Kluyveromyces lactis: one gene and its partner. The protein of the gene in region 1 binds, or shares a complex with, the protein of each later gene. Links are inferred from orthologs where the notes say so. Each region holds a gene or a part of one and is shown in the gene's direction. Other genes may lie near its edges.

Region 1 (11,216 bases):
CGTTCATCTGCGGTGACACACTCCTCACTATTCCCCAAACAGTGGTACCATTCTTCAACTCTATAGACACCCTTTCATTCTTTAGTTTCTTTAAGAACCCTGTTAACTGCATTTTGTCTGTATATAAAACTTCGTTGTTTCAATCGGACTAAAGATACACCAGAAAGCTGTTACCAGTTTCAAATGGTTTTGATGAAAAAGAGTTTTGAATTTTGCAAAAGTAACAGATGATCCACAAGCAACTTCCTGATTTTGATAAAAGATCAGGATTTGATCGTAGTTACTCAATTGACATATTCTACATAATGATGGATGAAATGGTTCAAATTGATACTCAAGAATCAATGGGGTCGTTCTTTCCTGGAAAAGAGTGGAAATTTCATATTATCACGTGCCTTAACAGGGTAACTCATTTGCGTGAGATTCCAATGGTTTCTTACATTCGAGCGAGCATGTGTTCGAATCTTACATGGAACCCAAAAAGTATTTAGATCCGTTGCATCTCATGTTAAATGGTTAACAGATACACGGAGAAGTGCGATAAGAAACTATCCATGCAAGCGATAACAAAACGTTCTGTCAGTCATTGCTTTGATAAAATCTGGATATATATATATATATATATATATAGATGTTAAAGTCAGATATTACTCTTTTCATATCTCATGGATCGCAAGCTTTCAAGGTTACTGCTGCTCGCATCGAGAGATTGGGAGTATTAAAGATTAACGCCAAGAGTAAACATGTCGTCATCAGTAATCTTGAAGAGATATAATATTTTACTCAAACGTAACCCGTTATTAACTAAATGCATAACAGGCGCGGTATTAACTGGGTTAAGCGAACTGTTCAGTCAATGGGTTAGTCTGTCTCCAGAGGAAAGAAAAGAGAAGCTAAATTGGATCAAAGTGGCATTGATGAGTCTATATGGTGGTCTATTTAACGCACCAGTTAATCATTTCAGTTACAAATGGATAAACGAATACACAATTAGGAAAGTGGTATCCAAATATAGAAGCTTGGTCCAGTTAGGCTGCTCATTAGGCATGGTATCGCCTATTCAAGTGTTAGGGTTACTATTTACCTTGACTTCTGTTAACAACGGTAAGGTTGACAAAACAAAAATTATACACGCAATCAAGACAAGATATGCGGCAATGTTGTCTTCCAGCTTGGCAACATCAACGGTATTGATGTCAATTGCTCAAAGATACATTTCACCAGATAAATGGTCCGTATTTTTTAGTTTGGCATACGCAATTCTGGGTACGGCTCAGAATATTTATTTGAAGAAATTCAAGAAATAAGGGTCTTGATCCATTCTGATAAAATATTACTTTCATTCTTCAAGGAAAGAATCTCTCTCCGCAAATTCTCTTGAATCATTCGGTTTTTATCGTCCTCAGTTTGATCGTTTTCTGAAGACAAAGATATTGGACTCATCGGTAGTTTATTCCAATGTTCCAATTCGCTTTTCAAGCCTCTGTTCTCGTTTCTTAGCTTCTCGACTTCAGCATTGAGGCGTTCCAGACTTTGCTTTAAAGTCATGACTTCCTTATCCTTCAACCCAAGTTCATAGGTCAACTGTGCTAAATCTCCTTCTAATTCTGTAGTTCTAATATTCACCATCGATCGATGAAAATTATGGCGAGTGATATGCGTGTGTAATAATCCTTAGTTGAGTTTGCAAAATGAATTTGTTGTTAGTCCACAAAGCTGCTAATATTAAAAAGTCCTGTCACACTCCCTTTAAATATCAAGTGTCAGAGATCAGAAATAATATTCTGCACATTTGAATAAATGAAAGGGCACGTAAAAGAGAACTAAGCCAAAATATCGAGATGCCATCCATTGGTGCGATGTCTGCATATTAAGTTGGTTTGTCTTTGTGTTTAGGTCCATCAGACTGCCTTCCTTTTCTACTTTTTCTCTTTGATTTAGCTTTCTTATCTGATTCACTTGATGGATTTTTTTCTGGCTTAGTGTTTTCCTGCTTACGCTTCTCCGATTTCATTTCCTCCACATTGGCAGATTTAGACTTTATTTTTACCTTAGGAGTAACTTTAGAGGGAGTTTCCTTTGTTTCTTTGCTTGTTAAATCCTTCTTTACATCCTTGTCTTTGTCTTTATGTTTCTTTGATTTTTTACGTCTTGCTCTCTTCGTTACCTCCGAATCTGCAGGCATCTCTGGTTTGGGAACATCATCTTTCTTTGGTTTCAACAAAATCTTCTTCTTTGGCTTTTCTTCGGATGTTACCGCACTCTTCTCAGTTGTCGCAGTGTCAAATTTCGATGATTTCGGTTCAGATTTCGATTTAGGTTTAGATTTGGATTTGGATTTGTGTTTGGATTTAGACTTTTTGGGCTTCTCAACTTCTGATTTATCCTTAGAAACATCTTTCTCGTCCGGATTATCCTTGTTCTTTGCCTTAGCACGTTTCAGCTTCCTCTTCTTCTCTAATAGTCTTAACTTTTTCTTAATCTTTTTGATCCTCTTCTTCTTTTCTTCGCTTGTTGGATCACCAGCCAATTCTATTAGTGCTCTTTGCTTACGTCCGTTTAACTCTTCTTCCATTTTTTCTTCACGTTCTAATTCCTTTCTTAAAGGTGCAATAACACTTAAATTCTTGAACTGTAATGAGTTGGTTTCATCTTCATTAATCAATTTCCATGATTTGACAAAGGTTTGAAAGACATGGTCCTTTTGAATCGTGCCTTGAATAGGATTAACCTCGTTGGGACTGACCCACTTCTTAACGAACGGCGAGATTTGTAAATCTGGAATCATCGAGTTATCCAAATCATCTATGAATCTGCATGTTCTTATTGTTTTTGACAACGATTGAATGGTTTCGAAGGAGTCCAATTGGATATATGCCCTAGACAAAGTCTGTTTCTTGAACACCTTGCTGGAGTAATGACCTTGCACGTAGTAGAATGATTTTTGAAATGAATGCACATCGATGTTGTTCTCTTGTAAAGTGCTGATGAATTGCTCTTCTGTTAAATTTGGTGGTAAAGATCGAATACATAATTTGAATTCACGGGAAGAGTCAGCACTCCTCTTCCGGTACCTCCTTCTATTTCTTTTCTTAGAGAGCATTCGTGAAAGAACGCAGTTTTACTGAAGGATCTTGTCTGAGGTATTGTGATAACAGCTCATGTTTTCGTTAGGGATGCATTTGTGATGAAGAACAGATGTGCTAACTGAAATTTTTTAGTGCAATTAAGTAAAATAATACTATGACAAACATAAATGCAAATTGAACCGTAATCGTATCAGTAAGCTGGTAGAAACGTGAATATACCCAACGCAAGTCGGGGTTACAAATATGAATACAACATCGCAGTATAAAGCTTAATGGATTTCAAAATGTGTGTATTTGAGATATATCTACATAGTAATAAATACCGACACACAGATACACATCATATAAGAAAAGACATCTTTAAATATGGAATAATTGTGGGAAAGAATATGTATTGATAAAGTGAACAATTTGTCAACGTTACATTTATTCGTAGATCCAAGACAATTGGTTCAACTTGTAGTCAATAAGTTCTTCCTTCTTGAACCACAAGCCGATTTCCTTTTCAGCAGATTCAACAGAGTCAGAACCGTGACAGACATTTCTACCAACTTCAATGGCAAAGTCACCTCTGATGGTACCTGGAGCAGATTGCAATGGGTTGGTAGCACCCAAGATAGCACGACCTTGCTTAACAACATCCTTACCTTCCCAGACAGTAGCTAAAACTGGACCAGAAGTCATGTAAGACAATAGAGATGGGAAGAATGGCTTGGAAACCAAGTCAGCGTAGTGCTCCTTCAACAAAGCTTCGGTTGGAGTAACCAACTTAATACCAACCAATTTGTAACCTCTGTCTTCAAAACGAGCTAAGATCTTAGAGATCAAACCTCTTTGAACACCATCTGGCTTGATAGCAATGAAAGTTCTTTCAGTGTTAGACATTTTTCTCGAGTTAGTTAATACGTGATTCTGTGTACGATCCTGCTATGAACTAAGAATCAATGGAACATAAGCAATCGCTAACCCCAGAAGTTGAAATAAAGTGCATGGAAAGAAGAAAGTTACTGCAAATTGAAATCAACGAAATTGAAATATTTCTCGAGAGAGCCAACGAATGAGGATCCGATTCATGCTCGATGAGATTGGTGCAGACGAAGAAATGCCGGGGAAAATCGAAAATGAGAGAAAATTTTTCCGGCACGTGACTTTGATTAGTTGATGTTTGGGGCTTCTTACTGAGGAAGCTGTAAAAGTATGGTTCATCATACACAATAGCAGAAAGGTGTCCATATCGTTAGCAAGCGCATTCGGAGGTTGGGATTAGGCGAAACACTGTATGTAAACCCCAAAGAGTGTTTATGGATATATGTCGAGGCAAGTCTTCAAGTGACTTTATCGATCACGTGACAAGAAAAATCAACAAACGGAAATCATGGTCTCTTGAAACATTGTACCTGGCTCATCTAATATTAAGGTTAGAATCAGACAAATCAGAAAAACTTCTGGTTGACATTTGACTCAGATCACCTTTATAGGACAAACTTTGAATTGAAAAGCGCCAGTGGATTTTCCTTTGTGGTTTTTGGTTATGGACCATTTCTTTGGGGCTCTAAAGGCAGGTGATTTTAGTGTATTGGATATAAACATCGAAAGAAATGGACAATTAATTCTTGAATTGCAACAGTTTTTGAGATCCAATGACAGCATTGACCTTGAGACCCTGATAAATTCACATTCTCTTTATGAGAACAGATGGACCAGGTTTAATAATTTGGTAAGTTCATTTCTTGGGTACTGTAAAGAACTGAATCCATATTCATTATGGGAATCGTCCTTCTCTGTGTTCCAATATTACCAGGATTTGAATACATGTCTCACAAACGAGACAACAATGTACCCTATTGATTCTTTGGTACCACTGTTTACAGCTACAACAGAATTGGTCATTCCAATGGCTATTAGATTGGATGCTAACCATAAGATCATTGGTACAAGACAGCATCAGTTTCTGACCCATATTGCTTCCATCATTTCCAAATTGTTCAATAGCATTAAAGCCAGGGTCGATGATGATAAGGTCGAATTTGATCATTTGTCAGGGAAACAGAAGGTCTTGCTTTATATTTCAAACAAATTGAACATGATTTATTTCAAGATTAACTCCCCATCTTCGTGCGCTAACATCTTCAAGAATTTGAAACCAAAGTCTAATATCTATTCGTTCAACCAATACCCGTTGACAGAGAGAATCCAGTATAGGTATTACTTGGGGAGATATTACCTATTAAACCATAGAATGGTTAATGCTTTCCATCAGTTGAACCAATGTTACGAACTCCTAGCCACATTACCCGACTCTATTGCGAAACAGAACAACAGGAGAAGATTGTTGAAGTTTTTAGTTCCATGTGGTATCATTATCAGCAAGTTGCCAGATTTCAACAAGTTATCTCAATGGGACCCTATCCTAGCACAGAAATACACAGCTCTTGTGATTGCCGTTAAAAACGGAAACTTGAACAGAGTAAACTTCTGGCTTTACGAGAACGAATCGTGGCTGAAATCATCTAAATTGTTGATTGTTCTATTGGAAAAGCTACCCATTATAACGTTCAGATCCCTTTTGCGATCTATTTTCCTATACTACTGTATACCGCGCAATTCAAATAAACTACCATACTCTGTGATAAGACCAATTCTAGCAAAATCCATCGGTTTATATCCACCTGAAATGCCATCGATATATAAAGACAATTACACCGCAGAATCACTTGAAAATATCCTTGTCACACTTTCAATTCAACAATTGTGGAAGGGAAATGTGTTTCCAAGCCTGCAAGTGTGCGTTACGATGAAGACTAACGATATCTCAGTAATCTTCCCTAATATCAATGAAAAGATCGTCTCTAGATTTTCGTTGAACCAGGAAGATTCCTGGCTCGATAAGTAAATGATAGATAATATACATATAGTATGTAAAAATAGATGACACAGCCCCTCCTAACCTGATTCGGGTCCCACTATCATACCCAGTCGTGAAACACTTTTGGAAGACTCAATTTTTACAGACATGTCTATATAGATATAAGAATGCTCTCACATATATCTGTTTGTCTTCCAGGTCACATTCTGCAAAAAAAAGTAAGAAATTGAAGAGAAGTTGAAATTTTGTTGAAGTTTCCATTATTTTTGTAAAAGGACTGATGATTACAACAGAAAACAAAGAGAGAAGGAAACATCCTTATAGCTAACTACTTTGTTAACAAGCTTTTAGCCATCAACAAAGAGTAGTGATATAGGGCTGTTCTTTGTTTGAGCTATTGAATTTTCCTATAGTGAGTGAGTGTTTCTTGTTGAAAAGAAAAGGTGCAAGAAATACTTCCAAACACAGGTTTTAAGCTTGTTGTGGTTTTTATTTACAAGAACGCTAATCATAATCACTTTACAAGAAATTCAGAAGGAATTTATCCCAATTTTTTCACAGGTAAGGACTGGGTTTTATTATAATTATTATTTTTTTTATTGACCTTTGAACTTTATCTTCCCTTGTAAAGGTTAATTTGCCATTGCATAAGTTCATCTATCTATAGAGCGTTTTGTCTCCGGAGTGCTAAAATATCACAATGTCAGATAATGGGCCAGATTTGTGGCTTGAGAAGATCAAGAAATGTCAGGCTTTGACGGAGTCTGAGATGAAACAGCTATGCGAGATGATGAAGGAACTCTTAATGGAAGAATCGAATATTCAGCCGGTTCAATCGCCGGTGACTGTTTGTGGTGATATTCACGGACAATTTCATGACCTTTTAGAACTATTCAGAACTGCTGGTGGGTTTCCTGATCAAGTAAACTATATTTTTCTTGGTGACTATGTAGATCGTGGTTATTACAGTTTGGAGACGTTCACACTTCTTATGTGTTTGAAAGTGAAATATCCTTCCAGAATTACTTTGGTTAGAGGAAATCATGAGTCGAGGCAAATTACACAAGTTTATGGGTTTTATGAGGAATGTTTAAATAAGTATGGTTCCACAACGGTTTGGAAGTATTGTTGTCAAGTGTTTGATTTCTTAACTTTGGCAGCTATTATTGACGGGAAAATTTTATGTGTGCATGGTGGTTTGTCTCCCGAGATTAGAATGCTTGATCAGATCAGAGTTCTATCGAGAGCCCAAGAAGTTCCTCATGAAGGTGGCTTCTCCGATTTGTTATGGAGTGACCCCGACAACGTGGAAGCATGGCAAGTCTCACCTCGTGGTGCCGGATGGTTGTTCGGTAGCAAAGTCTCACGAGAATTTAATCATGTGAATGGCCTAAGCCTAATCGCAAGAGCTCACCAGCTAGTTATGGAAGGATTCAAATACCATTTTCCGGAGAAGGATGTTGTAACGGTATGGTCTGCACCTAATTATTGTTATCGATGTGGTAATGTGGCGAGTGTCATGAAAGTCGAAGATGATTTAGATCCAACATTCAAAATTTTTTCCGCTGTACCTGACGATTACATCCAAGAAACAAACAATAATAACCAAAGAGGTGGATATTTCTTATAGAGCGACATTGCAGCGGCCTTTTTGTCTGTATAATCTTCTATGCGAACTTACATCGGACTAAACATTCTTTTTCTCCTTCTATTTGAGAATTCCTTCTTAATATACTGTACACTAGAAATCAAACATTTACCTAACTTTTACGAATTCAAAGATATCCATCAGGAATTAGGATTTAATTGGAAAGTGGACTATAAACAACGTAATTTTTAATGGGTTGAAATCATTACTGAGAAACCAACCCCCCTGAAACTTAAATAGTCTAAAACCCGGTAATATATATAGATATATGTATTAATGATAACGTTTAAACTGCCATTATGTCTTTCACGAGGCTTCACAGAGTCCTGATCTAATCCAAACTAGATCATCGAATATATTCAATTTGATATGGAATCATATATAGAATATCGTGTGTAGAATAGGTTTTTTTTTTTCTTACCAGTATCTCTTCAGCTCCAAAGCTGCATTGAAATATTTAAAATTTCAAGAGCATTTTATACAAAAAATGTAGCCATATGATTGCACTTATAACTTTCATAAATGATGTGATACCAACAAAACGCAGCATTTTGGTTACTCACATCGGGAATAAACGGTTTAACAATAACAAGGATTGCTAATACAGTATCAACTATAAATTGTAATGTTACGCAGCATTGTTCGCGTCCCTAGTATTACTTTTGCTTCTAAAGAAGCAATGAGACCAGTGCTAAGGAAAACTACCTTGGCCCATTTTATGAATCATTACAGATCGTTATCCGTATCTGCAACCAAGTTACAAGAGATTAAGAAATATGACCCTGCCCCTGCAGTAGGTAGTCCAAAACCTAAGAAGAAGCCATTAAGTAGGATACCCATTGGCGGTGCTGAAACTCATACCCAAAAAGTTGATACAGGTTCTACCATCGAATTTACTACCTGGAAAGCAGCAGCTTTGTTCATTCTTATCGGAGGCGGGGTGTACTATTTCTTTAAAAATGAGAAGCAAAGATTAGAGACCGAGAAGGAGGCGGAAGCTAACAGAGGTTACGGTAGGCCATTGGTCGGAGGTCCCTTTAGTTTGATTGATTTTAATGGGAATCCATTTACAGAGAAAGACTTGCTAGGCAAGTTCTCTATCATCTATTTTGGTTTCAGTCATTGTCCAGATATTTGTCCAGATGAGTTAGATAAGTTAGGAGCATGGTTAACTGAGTTAAAGAAGCGTGACATCAATTTGCAACCTGTTTTCATTACTTGTGACCCGGCTAGAGATCCACCAGAAGTCTTGAAAGAATACCTAAGCGAGTTCCACCCTGACATTATCGGTTTAACTGGTGACTATGATGCCGTGAAGAATGCTTGCAAAAAATACAGAGTCTATTTCTCTACTCCACCAAACGTCAAACCTGGCCAGGATTATTTAGTTGATCATTCCATTTTCTTCTACTTGATGGACCCAGAAGGTCAATTCATTGATGCCCTAGGTAGAAACTATGACGAACAGACTGGTGTTGAAAAAATCGTCGAACATGTATCTGCTTATGTTCCAAAGGAAGAACGTGAAAAGAGAAAGGACAAATGGTATTCCTTCTTGTTTTAAACACATTTATCTTGCTTTCTTGTAAATAAATAAAGCGTGTTTCGCAACTTCATGTAAGCTCAGTATTTAACATTAACACATCAAATATACGTTTTCAGTAGGGTATTTTCATTCTTGAATTACGGACGTTACGTTAGCCATATAACGATGAGGCATGAAATTTATATATGAGAATTATGGACTGAAATTAACAACTAAAAAAGAGAAGTGGGGGCCTCATTGTTCGTGAGCAATATGCAAGCAATGTCAACCCTTGTAATATGACGGGTCCTATAATTGTGATGTTCTCTCAATTCTTACCGGCACCGGCTCTGAAGTAGATGATATCACCGTCTTCAACAACGTATTCCTTACCCTTCTGTTGCAATTTACCTGCGGCCTTAATGGCATTGTCATCTTTGTATTCGACCACATCTTCGTATTTCATAACTTGAGCTAAGATGAAAGTGTTCATTAAATCATTGTGAATGACACCTGCAGCTTGGGGAGCTTTAGTTCCTCTTCTAATAGTCCATTCTCTAACTTCATCTGGACCACAAGTGAAGAAGGAGATCAAATCCAACTTTTCTCTCATGGTGGTAACGATCTTTGGTAGAGCAGATTGAACGCCTAGGTTCTTTAGTTCTTCTTCAGCTTCTTCTTCTGTCATATGGGATAATTTTTCTTCTAGACAGACAGAGAATGGAATGATCAAATCACCTGGGGAGTATTTGTCAACCCATTCCTTAATCTTCAACAAATGCTTGTTCTTCTTTCTGATATAATCTCTTTCGGATAAGTTAATCAAATAAATAGAAGGTTTTGCTGTCAACAAGAACATAGAGTTGATAATTTCGACCTCCTTAGTAGACCAAGATTGATTAGCGACTCTTTGACCGGATTTCAAAAGTTCAATGATCTTAGTAACCAATTCGGCTTCTTCCTTCTTTTGTTTAACTTCCAAAGATTGACCACCTCTTCTGGTAATTTTTTCAATACTTTCCAAGTGCTTTTCAGAGAATTCAATATCCTTCAATCTCAATTCAGTGTTGATGATATCCAAATCACGAACTGGATCAACATCACCTTCAATATGAATAATTTCAGCATCATCGAAACAACGGACCACTTGGTAGATGGAATCGACAGATCTGATATGGGACAAAAAGGCATTACCTAGACCTTCACCAGCAGAAGCACCCTTAGTCAAACCAGCAATATCGTAAACAGTCAAATGAGCTGGAACTTTGGAAGCTGGCTTGTAAATTTCACTTAGAGTATCGAATCTTGGAGATGGAACAATGACTCTAGCTTCTTCTGGATCAATGGTTGCGAATGGGTAGTTAGCTGGGTTACCCAATGGACATCTAGTAATGGCTTGGAAAAAAGTAGATTTACCAACGTTAGCTAAACCAACGATACCTGCCTTCAAGTTATTACCTGGACGGCCTAATAGAACCTTCTTTTCCTCTACTTGCTTCTTTGGTGGCATGTTACTAGTGTTATACTAATTAATTCTTTTTACCTGGTTTGTTTGAGATACACTAAGAGAAATTGACAAACAGATGAAGTAGAATGTCTTAAAACTTCCAGATAAGATAATAGTGCAATTAAAATTAGTTTCAGACGATCGACTAAAATTCAAACCTCCCTTCTATTTCTCTTGATGAAAGGCTCTTTTGAAACTTGACTGTAGCAGGAAAACTTCATCTTCAACTTTTTCTTCAATTAGATGAGGAACAGGCGCTCGAAAAAATGACGAAAAAAATTTCAGCTGTCGCTATATACGGAAATCATGTGACAACTTTTTTTGGTTGTTCCTGTTCTTGATAAAGGAAGAGGGAAAAAGGTAAAAAAAAAACTTAAAAAATATGACACTAACGGGATTCGAACCCGTGTCACTCCCTCGCCTGGCACTTACCATTTCTGGTAGTTACGCTATTAATGGAAGGGGAGTATCCTAAACCACTAGACTATAGTGTCCTATTTTGTTGAATTGTTATATTTATAGACCTATATATTATGAATTATCCGCACTTTGGGTATCACCTTGATAGATTCGTTTTGTTA
Region 2 (11,124 bases), on another chromosome or scaffold:
CCGCACGTCCTCCGATTTAGATCATATATAACAGGCACGCTCTGCTGCACCTTGTTCAGAATATAAGCGATTAGGGAACTGACTGTATATTGCACCTGCCATTCTTTTTGAAGCCTCACTCACCAAAAGAAAGGAAAGAAATTGAAAAATCGATTTTTGATCGAAATTTCCAAACCGAAAAAATAAATCCGAAAAGTTAGAGATCACTGACTGATATAAAATAGAGAAGGACCTTGCATTTAAAGTCATCGCACAGCAAGGACGGATTCTGTACAGACAGGAAAAAAAAATAGAAGGCATAATAACTAGTTTATCAGTCTGAAAGATAACATAAAGCAAAGCAATAGTGACCATGTTTGCGTCTAAGAGTGTTGTTGCTTCTAGCAGAGCTTTGAACGCCGGTGCGTCATCTGCTCGCTTCGCTCGCGGTGCTAGATTTTTTTCTAGTACAAAATCAATTTCTAATATTGGCCAAAAAGCTGTTGTCCCAGTAAAGCCATCGCTAGCAAGAAGAGTGGTTTCTACCACTTTGAAAGTTTCTCTAGCGGCTTTGTTGGCTGGTACTGGTTACGTTTCCTATGAATTGTACAGGGAAGCTAATCCACCTCCTCAAATTCCTCAAGCTGCCACTTTCGCTAACGGTTCTCCAAGGAAAACCCTTGTCGTTTTGGGTACTGGTTGGGGTTCTGTGTCCTTATTGAAACATTTGGATACTTCTTTGTATAACGTTATTGTTGTTTCTCCAAGAAACTACTTCTTGTTCACTCCATTGCTACCTTCTACTCCAGTCGGCACCGTTGAGTTGAAGTCCATTGTCGAACCTGTCAGATCCATCACCAGATCTTCACCTGGTGAAGTTCATTACTATGAGGCTGAAGCCAAGGACATCGATCCTGTTGCCAAGACCGTTAGAATAAAATCTGCTACTAAAGACCATGACTACGAACTTGATTTGAACTATGATTATTTGGTCGTCGGTGTTGGTGCTCAACCAACTACCTTCGGTATCCCAGGTGTCTTCGAAAACGCCTCCTTCTTGAAGGAAATTCCGGACGCTCAAGATATTAGAACTAAAATCATGAATAACATTGAAAAGGCTGCTACTTTGTCTGCTAACGACCCTGAACGCAAGAGATTGTTGAGTTTCGTTGTTGTTGGTGGTGGTCCAACCGGTGTTGAATTTGCTGCTGAATTGCAAGATTACGTTGACCAAGATTTGTCTAAATGGATCCCTGAAATCTCCAAGGAAATTAAGGTTACTTTGGTCGAAGCTTTACCAAATATCTTGAATATGTTTGATAAGTCTCTATGGCAATACGCCCAAGACTTGTTCGCCATGGAAAAAATCGATGTCAAGTTAAAGACTATGGTTAAGAACGTCAACTCTACTACCATCACTGCCCAATGTGGTGATGCAACTGAAGATATCCCATACGGTTTGTTGGTTTGGGCTACTGGTAACGCTCCAAGAGAAGTTTCCAAGAACTTGATGGCTAAATTGGAACAACAAAATTCCAGACGTGGTTTATTGATCAATGACAAGATGCAACTATTAGGCGCTGAAGACTCCATTTGGGCCATTGGTGACTGTACTTTCTTCCCAGGTCTTTTCCCAACAGCTCAAGTGGCACATCAAGAAGCTGAATACTTGACTGAAACTTTGAAACAACAATACAAGATTGATCAATTGAAATGGGAAATCTCGAAAACTACTAATGCCACTGAAACTTCTAAATTGCACTCCAAGTTGGACAGAATTGTGAAACAACAAAAACCTTTCAAATACAACCACCAAGGTACCCTTGCTTACATTGGTTCAGAACAAGCCATTGCTGACGTTGCTGTCGGTGAATCCAAATATCAAATGGCCGGTTCTTTCACCTTCTTATTCTGGAAGTCTGCTTACCTAGGGATGTGTCTCTCCTTCAGAAACAGAATCTTGGTCGCTATGGACTGGGCTAAAGTTTACTTCCTAGGTAGAGACTCATCGGTATGAAATCTGAAGTGGTTAACGTCTGATTTCTGATCAATCACATCCTAATTTTTTCTTTTTTCTTGCTCCCATTGTCTTATCCATCTACGCTGAGGAGACAAGATTGATTACTGATCGGGTTTCAGTCATTTAACATTAATATTCATTCAATTTACATAAACATCACCCATTAATTAATTTGATAAATAAAATAAATATCCTTTCCACCGCTTTTATGCTATTTGTCACCATGCCAAGAAAATATATATGTCCTGTTGTAGCACTGTTCATTAAAAAGAAAAAATTGACGGTCCATGATGCAAAGGGTTTGCTTTAAGCTTTTTGAGTAACTTCCTTCCGATAGTAATAGATGAAATATTATAGTACCTTCTATATCATAAATTTAGGGATTTGTTTTTTTGTACTTTCGGTATTGTGTCAACATTACCGTTAAAAATATGTGCATCTTTGTGGCGAGGAATAAAAAGAAATTTAAAGTTTGACGGCAAAGAAGCGTCAGTTTCCTGAAAGAGTGATAATATGGTAAGATACTTCAGAAAGTGATAGGAAGGTGAATCAGTTACACTTTAATTTCCTCTGACAATCTAACACAAATAATATAAGATTTCCTCCTATTCAATTTACTACCTGCTCGTCTTGTTCTTTTGATCACTTTATCAGACTATTCTATTTCCTCAAAAGGCAAGGTCATTGTGAGAAGTTTACAATGCAAAAAATCTATTTGTTTTAATCAGTAAGATTGGGCAAATTTTCGGCCGTAAGCCTTTACCTGTTCATTTAATTCGCATAATATGCGGAGTCGTCTCGATTTGTCGTTGTGGCTTTTAGGTGTTTTTTCACTCACAAACATCAGACGACACAAGACATTTGAATTCTTGCTATTAAGGAATGGATTTTTTCAAATTAGCCATTATCTTGCATCAAATTAGCATCAACACAGATAACAAAGAGGACCATGGCAAAAACATGTTTACTATTAGTATTACACGCAGAGTTCTCCATCCATGAGTTTTCATTGGATCATTTATAAATGATAAAGGGAGTACATTATACCATCCTATTCTAACTCAAATTTTTGAAGAAATTGCATGATCTTCGGTTTTTGCTATTATGGAAACTTTTGCAAAGCAAACCTTATAGCAGGAACAAGTTTTTACTGTTAGCCTATCGTGTTTGTTCAGACATCTGTATTCTTTCTAAAAAAAGAACAGAAACAAAACGCAACTCTTCCTGTTCCAAAGCTGCAAGTATTAGCTGTCTAACACTTATATAAGTTTGGTTGCTAGTCTACATTCTCTTAGTTGAATGCAATCGTTTTACTCAAATTTGATTTGAGAAAATCGATCGTTCTTATGCAAGTGACGCGTGTTTTTCGTTCTGTGCATAATTATCGCGTAGTATTTTTTTTTTTTCGGAAATTTTCTCCGTTGTAAAAGTTAACTTCATACCGTTTTGAAGTAGAAACAACTCCTCTTCCGTGTCAGTGCACACACATCTGAAGGTAACCGTTTTCAACTGAAAGCATTATGTCAGCGGTTCTGTGTTCAGGTTTGCACTACAAATGTCTTTCTCATATTTGGCAATATCCAAATGCAATCCCAAGCAACCTAACACCAGAAACCTTGAAACGAATAGAAATAACTTTACAAAAACTGTAATTGATACAGGTACATTGATGTACCTGTTTTGACGGAATGACATAACTCAATTCCTGTACTAATCATGGAATTGAGCAGAAAATTGGTCACGTGATATAGTGTCCGGTGAAGGAAACCATGGTGACACCTGCGTTCCTCTCTCAGCATATCGAAATTATAGCACAAATGAACTGATGATTTTGTCGGACAAACACTTTTGACGTCTTTGTTTTCATTCACAGTAAGACACCTGTGAAAAAGTAAAGATAGTCCGTTTCGTTCTTATTCTTGAAAATAAGAACTCGTCTTACTGTGATGAGAATGAATCAGTGTGAACAATTCTCTAAAGGTAATATTTTGTTGCATATTTCCACTTTACTGTGGAGGAGATTTATTGACAAACTTGATTCCAAACTGTGCTTCATTGAACAACGCTTTTTACTCACGTCACTGCTTGTATTTTCTCTATTAAATCAGATACTCCAAGATAAAGCTAGATCTCGTTATAGGTAGTGAGCAGACGGCGCTAACGAGGACTGGAAAGTGATTCGCACGAAATAAGGTTGCAAATTGGGCAGAAGATAAGATCTACAACTTCCAGTAATATAATGGAAACTCTATTGGAAAAAGACCTACCGGAAGGTAAAGAAGAGCGAATCAGGCTGGCGTTGGATTTTATTCGGGAACAACATAGTAAAGAAGGGACTGATAATTCAGAGCATGATATTAAGCCCAAGAAGGACGTGTTGAAACCTAGTAAATATGGTAAAAAACGAAAGCCCACAATCAGACAGATTGCACTCCATTTTCAAATACCTAAGAGTACGCTATACGATAGGATGAAGGCAGATCAAGGACAAAAGAGGCAAAGAACGATAACTAAGGCAAACGCCGCTGGAGGCCAGAGTGATGAAATCTCTGATGAAAATAATGAACACGATTTACAAATGCAGTTAAGAAATCAGACAACGAGAACGTATTCTCACTTATCTCAAATGAGATTCAGCCCGGAAGCAGAATCCGACATGGTGCGAAATATGCAGGGTTATGTATTAGCTTATGGTAATCTGCCATTGATCTCAGATTTAAGAGAGTGCATACCCAGCACAACAAGGGCGGTACACTTGGGAAATAAATGGATCACTGGTTTCATAAGACGACATGGGGAAGAAACGGTATATGGTATGACGGGCGAGGGGGTATTGAACGCTAAATTTAAAGATTTTAGGCAATGGAAAAACAAGTTTAGTCAATTGCATGATTTATTCCTTCGGTGCTTGCAATCCAAATTAAAAAGATGCCATCAGTTTTACTACATCTGTAAATACGTTCCACATGGCTCAAACGAAGCCAATAAGATGATATTTTTTGCATTAAAAGTGAAGATTCAGCAGGTAAATGCTGGCACAGAGAAAGATGTGACAATATCTTTGCTATGTGAACCAATTACAAGGGAGTTAAGTCCCATCTCTCCTGAAGAAGCAAAGGAACAATTCTTACAAGATCTAAATTCCATTTTGAAACGTATAGACGCTAACTCTACGGACCTAGTCGTTTTGGAAGGGTTAACACAGACGGAACATTGGGACTGGTCACAATGTCTAGAATTAGTCAAAACGCACAAGCTAAACGGTAAATTGTATACGGTTCCCTGGGGAAATGACCTACTCACGAATTGTTTAAACAAGGATAATAATATTGCGGTCACTTTTGAGAAAATCACACAAGATTCGAATTCAGCGGTGGCTACCAAAGATATGGTTAACTTTACCTCTGTGTCTGTCATGCTTAAGGAAATAATCACCAACGCAACGCCGTTACCAGCCGTTGCCATCAATAATTCGCGCACTCAAAGGGACGCTATACGGCAATTAATTCGAACTATATCTGAGAATGAGTCGCGGTTGTATAGAGAAATACATGATCCTGATGCCCGTGTCACTCTTTGCAACATTTTCAATCAAGCGCGCTTACTTGAAGAGTCATTATCTACTTGCGCTGTTGAACTCACGTGACTTGTTATTGTCATTTCTGCATTTAATTGGGTTCTAGATTACCCGCATTATTTCACGTGATCAACCAATGTCACTTCTCAGTGGCAAAATTGACTGCTTACATGTAGTACGTGGTATCACTCCTGACGACAGTGAAATATATCTGTTTTAACGACGAAATGAGAACGTAAGAAAAAAACAGCGAAAGGTAAGAGAATTTCAAAACAATAATTTGGCATAGATTATGAAGAAAAGGTGCGTGTTGTGCTCTGACGGTTGTTAATTGAATTAAGGATTTATACGTGTTTAATCTAAGGATAGAACTTGTTGAGAAGCAACTTGGTATTGTCAACCACAAGGAAGAAGACCCAACCGAAACAATGTCTCACGAAGCAGAAGAGGATTTATTGGAGTATTCCGATAACGAACAAGAAGTTCAAGTTGACAACAAGGCCACTGAAGTGAATGCCGAGGGTAACGGTGAGAGCCAAGCAAAGGATTCTGATAAGAAAGGTTCTTATGTTGGTATTCACTCCACTGGTTTCAAGGATTTCTTGTTGAAGCCAGAATTGTCCAGAGCTATCATTGACTGTGGTTTTGAACATCCTTCTGAAGTGCAACAACATACCATTCCTCAATCCATTCATGGTACTGACGTCTTATGTCAAGCTAAGTCTGGTCTAGGTAAGACTGCTGTGTTCGTGTTGTCTACTTTGCAACAATTGGATCCAGTTCAAGGTGAAGTCAGTGTCGTCGTGCTATGTAACGCGAGAGAATTGGCTTACCAAATTAGAAACGAATACTTGAGATTCTCCAAATACATGCCAGACGTTAAGACTGCTGTATTTTACGGTGGTACTGAATATAAGAACGATATTGATTTGCTATCCAAGAAGGAAACCGTCCCTCATATCATTGTAGCCACTCCTGGTCGTTTAAAGGCTTTGGTTAGAGACAAGCATATCGATCTATCTCACGTCAAGAACTTTGTCATTGATGAATGTGACAAGGTCTTGGAAGAATTGGATATGAGAAGAGATGTTCAAGATATTTTTAGAGCCACCCCAAGAGATAAGCAAGTTATGATGTTTTCCGCAACTCTATCCCAAGAAATCAGACCAATCTGTAGAAGATTCCTTCAAAATCCATTAGAAATCTTTGTCGATGACGAAGCCAAGTTGACTCTACACGGTTTGCAACAATACTATATCAAATTGAATGAAAAGGAAAAGAACCGTAAGTTGGCTCAATTGTTGGACGATTTGGAATTCAACCAAGTTATCATTTTCGTCAAGTCTACTGTCAGAGCTAACGAATTGACCAAACTATTGAATGCTTCTAACTTCCCAGCCATCACTGTGCATGGTCACATGAAACAAGAAGAACGTATTGCTCGTTACAAGGCTTTCAAGGAATTCGAAAAACGTATTTGTGTTTCCACTGATGTTTTCGGTAGAGGTATTGATATCGAACGTATTAACTTGGCCATTAATTATGATATGCCAAACGAAGCAGACCAATACTTGCATCGTGTTGGTAGAGCTGGTAGATTCGGTACCAAGGGTTTGGCTATCTCCATGATATCTAGTGAAGATGACGAACAAGTCTTGGCCAAGATCCAAGAAAGATTTGATGTTAAGATCACTGAGTTCCCAGAAGAAGGTGTTGATCCATCTACTTATTTGAACACTTAGATATTTCATCATAGCGTTTTACTTCAGAATTTTTTACCAAAACTAGAAAATTGCAAAAACAAGCTGGAATGTGTATTATCAAATAAAATGTGGTTTTTATACAGTTTAAAACGAATTTCCAATAGTCCCATTATAACTAAGTAACATAATTGGAGTATAAGTGTATAAAATCAATTCAATTCTCATGAAAAAAAGCTTCATTGTATGTCGGGTTTAGGTATTAGTGTTTCCTCATATGCCCTTGCAGATAATTAAAGCGGAGACGTCTGTCATGAATATAATATAAACTGGATTTATGTGATGTACATAAGGTCTATCAAGCCGCTTGTCAGCTTTTACAGGTGAGAAAAGTAAACATATGGGCCTTTCTGGACAAGCAGGTTACGCTTTCTGTAGTCGAACCGTGTCATTGGCGTGGTTCGGCAGAAACGACGTCTGTTTCTTTTATTTTTATGTGTTATTATTGTCATTTGGTCTTCCTGCAGACGAAAATAAGAAATAGAATAATAACTCTGGGGTAAAAACAAATAAAGAGTATGTTCTTACAAGACATCCTTTACAGTCCCATCTGCTGTATTAAAACTCCGTAATTTTGGTAGTGCCGCACCTTTCGGAAGCGATGGCCTATTGAGATGCAATATAGGCAGTTCAGGACGCTCTATTTTCTGATTTGAACTGCTGTTGATCCTAATCAAATGTGAATCAGGTGTCACCTCTGATACCGTACTCAGACTTGGTAAATGCTGCGCTGCTGGAACTGATGCGGCTGGAGTCACCATGTTTGCTGTTGAGGGACTAAGTCCATTATTAAACTGCTGGCTATGATTCACAAGCTGAGTACTATCATGAGAGATGTCAGATTCGGTATTATCAAGATTCTCTGGCTTGTCTTCAATTGGAGAATGTTGGAGTGTCGACCCATGAATGCTTCCATTTTCCGGATTTTGTTCCTCTTTAAGAACCTTTGTAGCAAGTATTCCTAATGTGTTTAACATGTTGGAATCCGACGAGTGTAACTGTCTTGAAATAAATGGCTTCCTGACCGATGCAGATGGCACGGAAGTTGGTCTAGAGAGGCGAGGATTATAGACTTGGCTTTGGTTCAATAATCTGGAAAGTCTGTTGATTTCTTTGTTTTTCGACATGATCGTTTCTCTGTATTTTGTGATCTTGACCGAAGTACCCTCTAACTGTCTCTGTAGGTCTGTCTTTTGTACCATCAAATTGTATTTCATACTTTCAAATTGTTGCTTGGCGAGATTTTGTTCCACTTGGAACCCGCTCTGAAGTTCGTTGAGATTTTGTACTAGAAACATATTCTTCAACGTCAATTGTTTGGCCCGTTCTTGTGATTTGGTTAACGCTGTCATTAAATGCCGTAATGAGGTAATAATGTCATTGTTTACATCTTTGTCTTTCTCATCTGCGGTACCATTTTTCGTATCATCAGAACCCGTATCCCCTTTGTGATTCGAAGCAGGTATCTCCGCTGTAGATTGTAACGCATTTAAGGTATTCAAGGTTCTCTGAGCATTTTCTATAGCTAAACTTACTTGGTCGTTCAATGAATCCTCCTGCGTCGATATTGACGAAGTATTCGAAATGGTCGAACTCTTTCTCTCCAAATCGTTAGGCGTAAATATCACGGACGGTGAATGAACATTATTTACCTCTCCCTCAGTCTTTAATTGAGTTTCTGTCATCCCAAATGAAGTGCTAGTCGCAAATATTGCTATGCTCTCAACCTTTATGTCCCGATATCAATCTTGAATTACTGTTATTATCGATTTTTCAGCAAGCAGGCCTGCCTTTGGGAACTTGTATGTTTGGTATGTATACACTCGCTGCTGTAATTAATACTCGACTGAGGTTGGACTTGGTTTGATAGCGCGCTACACCGTATTTCCTTTTATTCCCTGATGGTATTTTAAATCTTTATCATTTTAGGATTGTGCACTTTGACGCGAAACGACGCGTATTATGAAATTTCAAGAATCACGTTCGGGAAAAAGTACTTCGGGTTTGATCAATTGTGAAGCGGGCGAAGTCCAAACAGAGTCATGCGCAATGAAACTGTATCTGCCCAAATGGTCGCACATACGGTCAAGATCCTGCAGCTCAACAGGAACGTTTCTTGTTCGTGGAGAATGCGCCAAATATGTAGAAATTATTGGCGCATAACACTCTTTCATTGTAATTAGCTAGTTAGTAGATGGGAAGTGGGGCATTGGCACCTAATAACTGTAACGTGTCAGTATGTCTGCTCAATGACTGGAAATGAATGAACTGCAAACGAACGAGTAAGGTGAAATATTAACGTTCTACCCGTGATATTAGGCTATACAGTATGTAGATGTAGTATATATGTTGATAATATAAGATACAATAGAAAATTGATATGATGATTTCCATAGGATCCTGATTAACGGTAAGATTTTTGGAATCTAGATCTAGCACCTCTACCACCGAATTTCTTTGGTTCTGGTCTTCTAGAATCAGCGATCAACAAGGTTCTGTCGTAAGAAGTGAAAGCCTTCTTCAATTCGTTCTTGGATTGTTCATCGACGAACTTTTGGTGGTAAGCAACCAAACCCTTAGCGATAGCTTGTCTGATAGCATAGACTTGAGAGACGTGACCACCACCGGTAACCTTAACTCTGATGTCGATGTTGGCGAACTTGTCCAAACCAACCAATAACAATGGTTCGTAAACCTTGAATCTCAAGATTTCTGGTTGCACCAAGGTGATTGGAGAACCGTTAACCTTGATCAAACCCTTACCGGCCTTAACGTGGGCAACGGCAGTAGCAGACTTCTTCTTACCAAAAGTCTATAGGAAAAATAATGAGGTAATAGTTTCAAAACTGTTAGTAAAATACGTTTTTCCAATGACATTGGAACTGGGAAAGCCCTTGACTAAAAACATAGGTGATGCCAGAAAGGTGGGTATTTGAACCGTTTCATACACGTCGATAACATCTTTGGAGGTCATTTGCTTCTTAGTTATAAATAGCCTGAATATCCTTACTGGTGTTACTGGTGGTGAAATGATTCTGTCAGAGTGGTTTTGGATAGCCCACATTATACAAATGGTATATTACGGTGATTCCCCTTAATCAAATCTTGTCTGGTATCTTTTTACCACATCCTGTTTCCTTCGGTGATTCTCATTATATGGTAGGTTCAATCCACATTTAATTTGTTCATGCTATCACGAGCAAATCGGTCATTGCTTAGCGATAGAACTTGAAACACACACGCTCTTGTTGCTACAATTCATATTACATTCAGAAAGTACTAGTAACCATTATTTTTTTCACTCTCATGTTACATTATCATGTTTTCTTCAATTCGGGATTCTCAGTTCGTTCCGCGCTCGTTCGCTTGTTCATTCGTTGTTTTAACATACTTGGACACTTGGGACAGTAGACATCTTCGACTTTGCTTGCTTTTGTCTGAACTAAATATCCTAATAACAACCTAATCAACAGTAAATCAAGACTATACACATGAAATACACTTGTTAACTACCTTGTACCATACAAATTGTAATCTCTAATTCTTTTTCCATGATAATTTTCAAATTCTAACAAACTTCCAAGGGTAGAAACCTCTCAGCCAGAGAGAGGTGGGAACCACGGTCGCCTCAGAGTACACCAGAGGCTCACCACTATGCTGAGACGGTGTGTTTGGGTTGTGTCCGAGGACCTTGTGAAACTGGCGGCGCCCATGGTACGAAGGTTACTACGGATGGTTACCTGTGGTGGAAGAGGAATTGCCTAGGAACAGTCCATCCCCACCTAGAG

Evidence for each region.
Region 2: the proteins of THP1 (region 1) and SUB2 are in contact, whole or in part, in a crystal structure (PDB 8U8C), measured with the Saccharomyces cerevisiae proteins. The link is inferred for Kluyveromyces lactis from reciprocal best matches to the Saccharomyces cerevisiae genes THP1 and SUB2. Residues at the interface, in NP_014569.1 of Saccharomyces cerevisiae: Lys362, Ile408, Asn409, Gly411, Arg414, Ala415, Asn416, Phe418, Leu421, Val425, Val426, Lys427, Arg442, Lys445, Met446; in NP_010199.1 of Saccharomyces cerevisiae: Leu10, Glu11, Tyr12, Ser13, Asp14, Asn15, Glu16, Ile19, Gln20.

Annotation. Positions count from the first base shown.
Region 1 is NC_006040.1:310,612-321,827, reverse strand, and holds THP1 (Thp1p), read left to right. Parts: upstream 1-4,620; coding exon 4,621-5,982; downstream 5,983-11,216. Other genes in the region: mRNA splicing protein SMD1, read right to left, coding at 1-112; KLLA0_D03751g (uncharacterized protein), read left to right, coding at 744-1,307; KLLA0_D03740g (uncharacterized protein), read right to left, coding at 1,297-1,629; UPF3 (Upf3p), read right to left, coding at 1,871-3,103; YNK1 (nucleoside diphosphate kinase), read right to left, coding at 3,516-3,974; type 2A-related serine/threonine-protein phosphatase SIT4, read left to right, coding at 6,656-7,585; KLLA0_D03630g (SCO family protein), read left to right, coding at 8,229-9,167; OLA1 (Obg-like ATPase), read right to left, coding at 9,457-10,638. UniProt on the Saccharomyces cerevisiae protein: Component of the SAC3-THP1 complex, which functions in transcription-coupled mRNA export from the nucleus to the cytoplasm.
Region 2 is NC_006041.1:1,953,766-1,964,889, forward strand, and holds SUB2 (ATP-dependent RNA helicase SUB2), read left to right. Parts: upstream 1-6,004; coding exon 6,005-7,318; downstream 7,319-11,124. Other genes in the region: KLLA0_E21891g (uncharacterized protein), read left to right, coding at 353-1,996; KLLA0_E21913g (uncharacterized protein), read left to right, coding at 4,239-5,645; FDO1 (Fdo1p), read right to left, coding at 7,861-9,021; RPS16B (40S ribosomal protein uS9), read right to left, coding at 9,741-10,148, 10,728-10,751. UniProt on the Saccharomyces cerevisiae protein: ATP-binding RNA helicase component of the TREX complex involved in transcription elongation and required for the export of mRNA out of the nucleus. SUB2 also plays a role in pre-mRNA splicing and spliceosome assembly.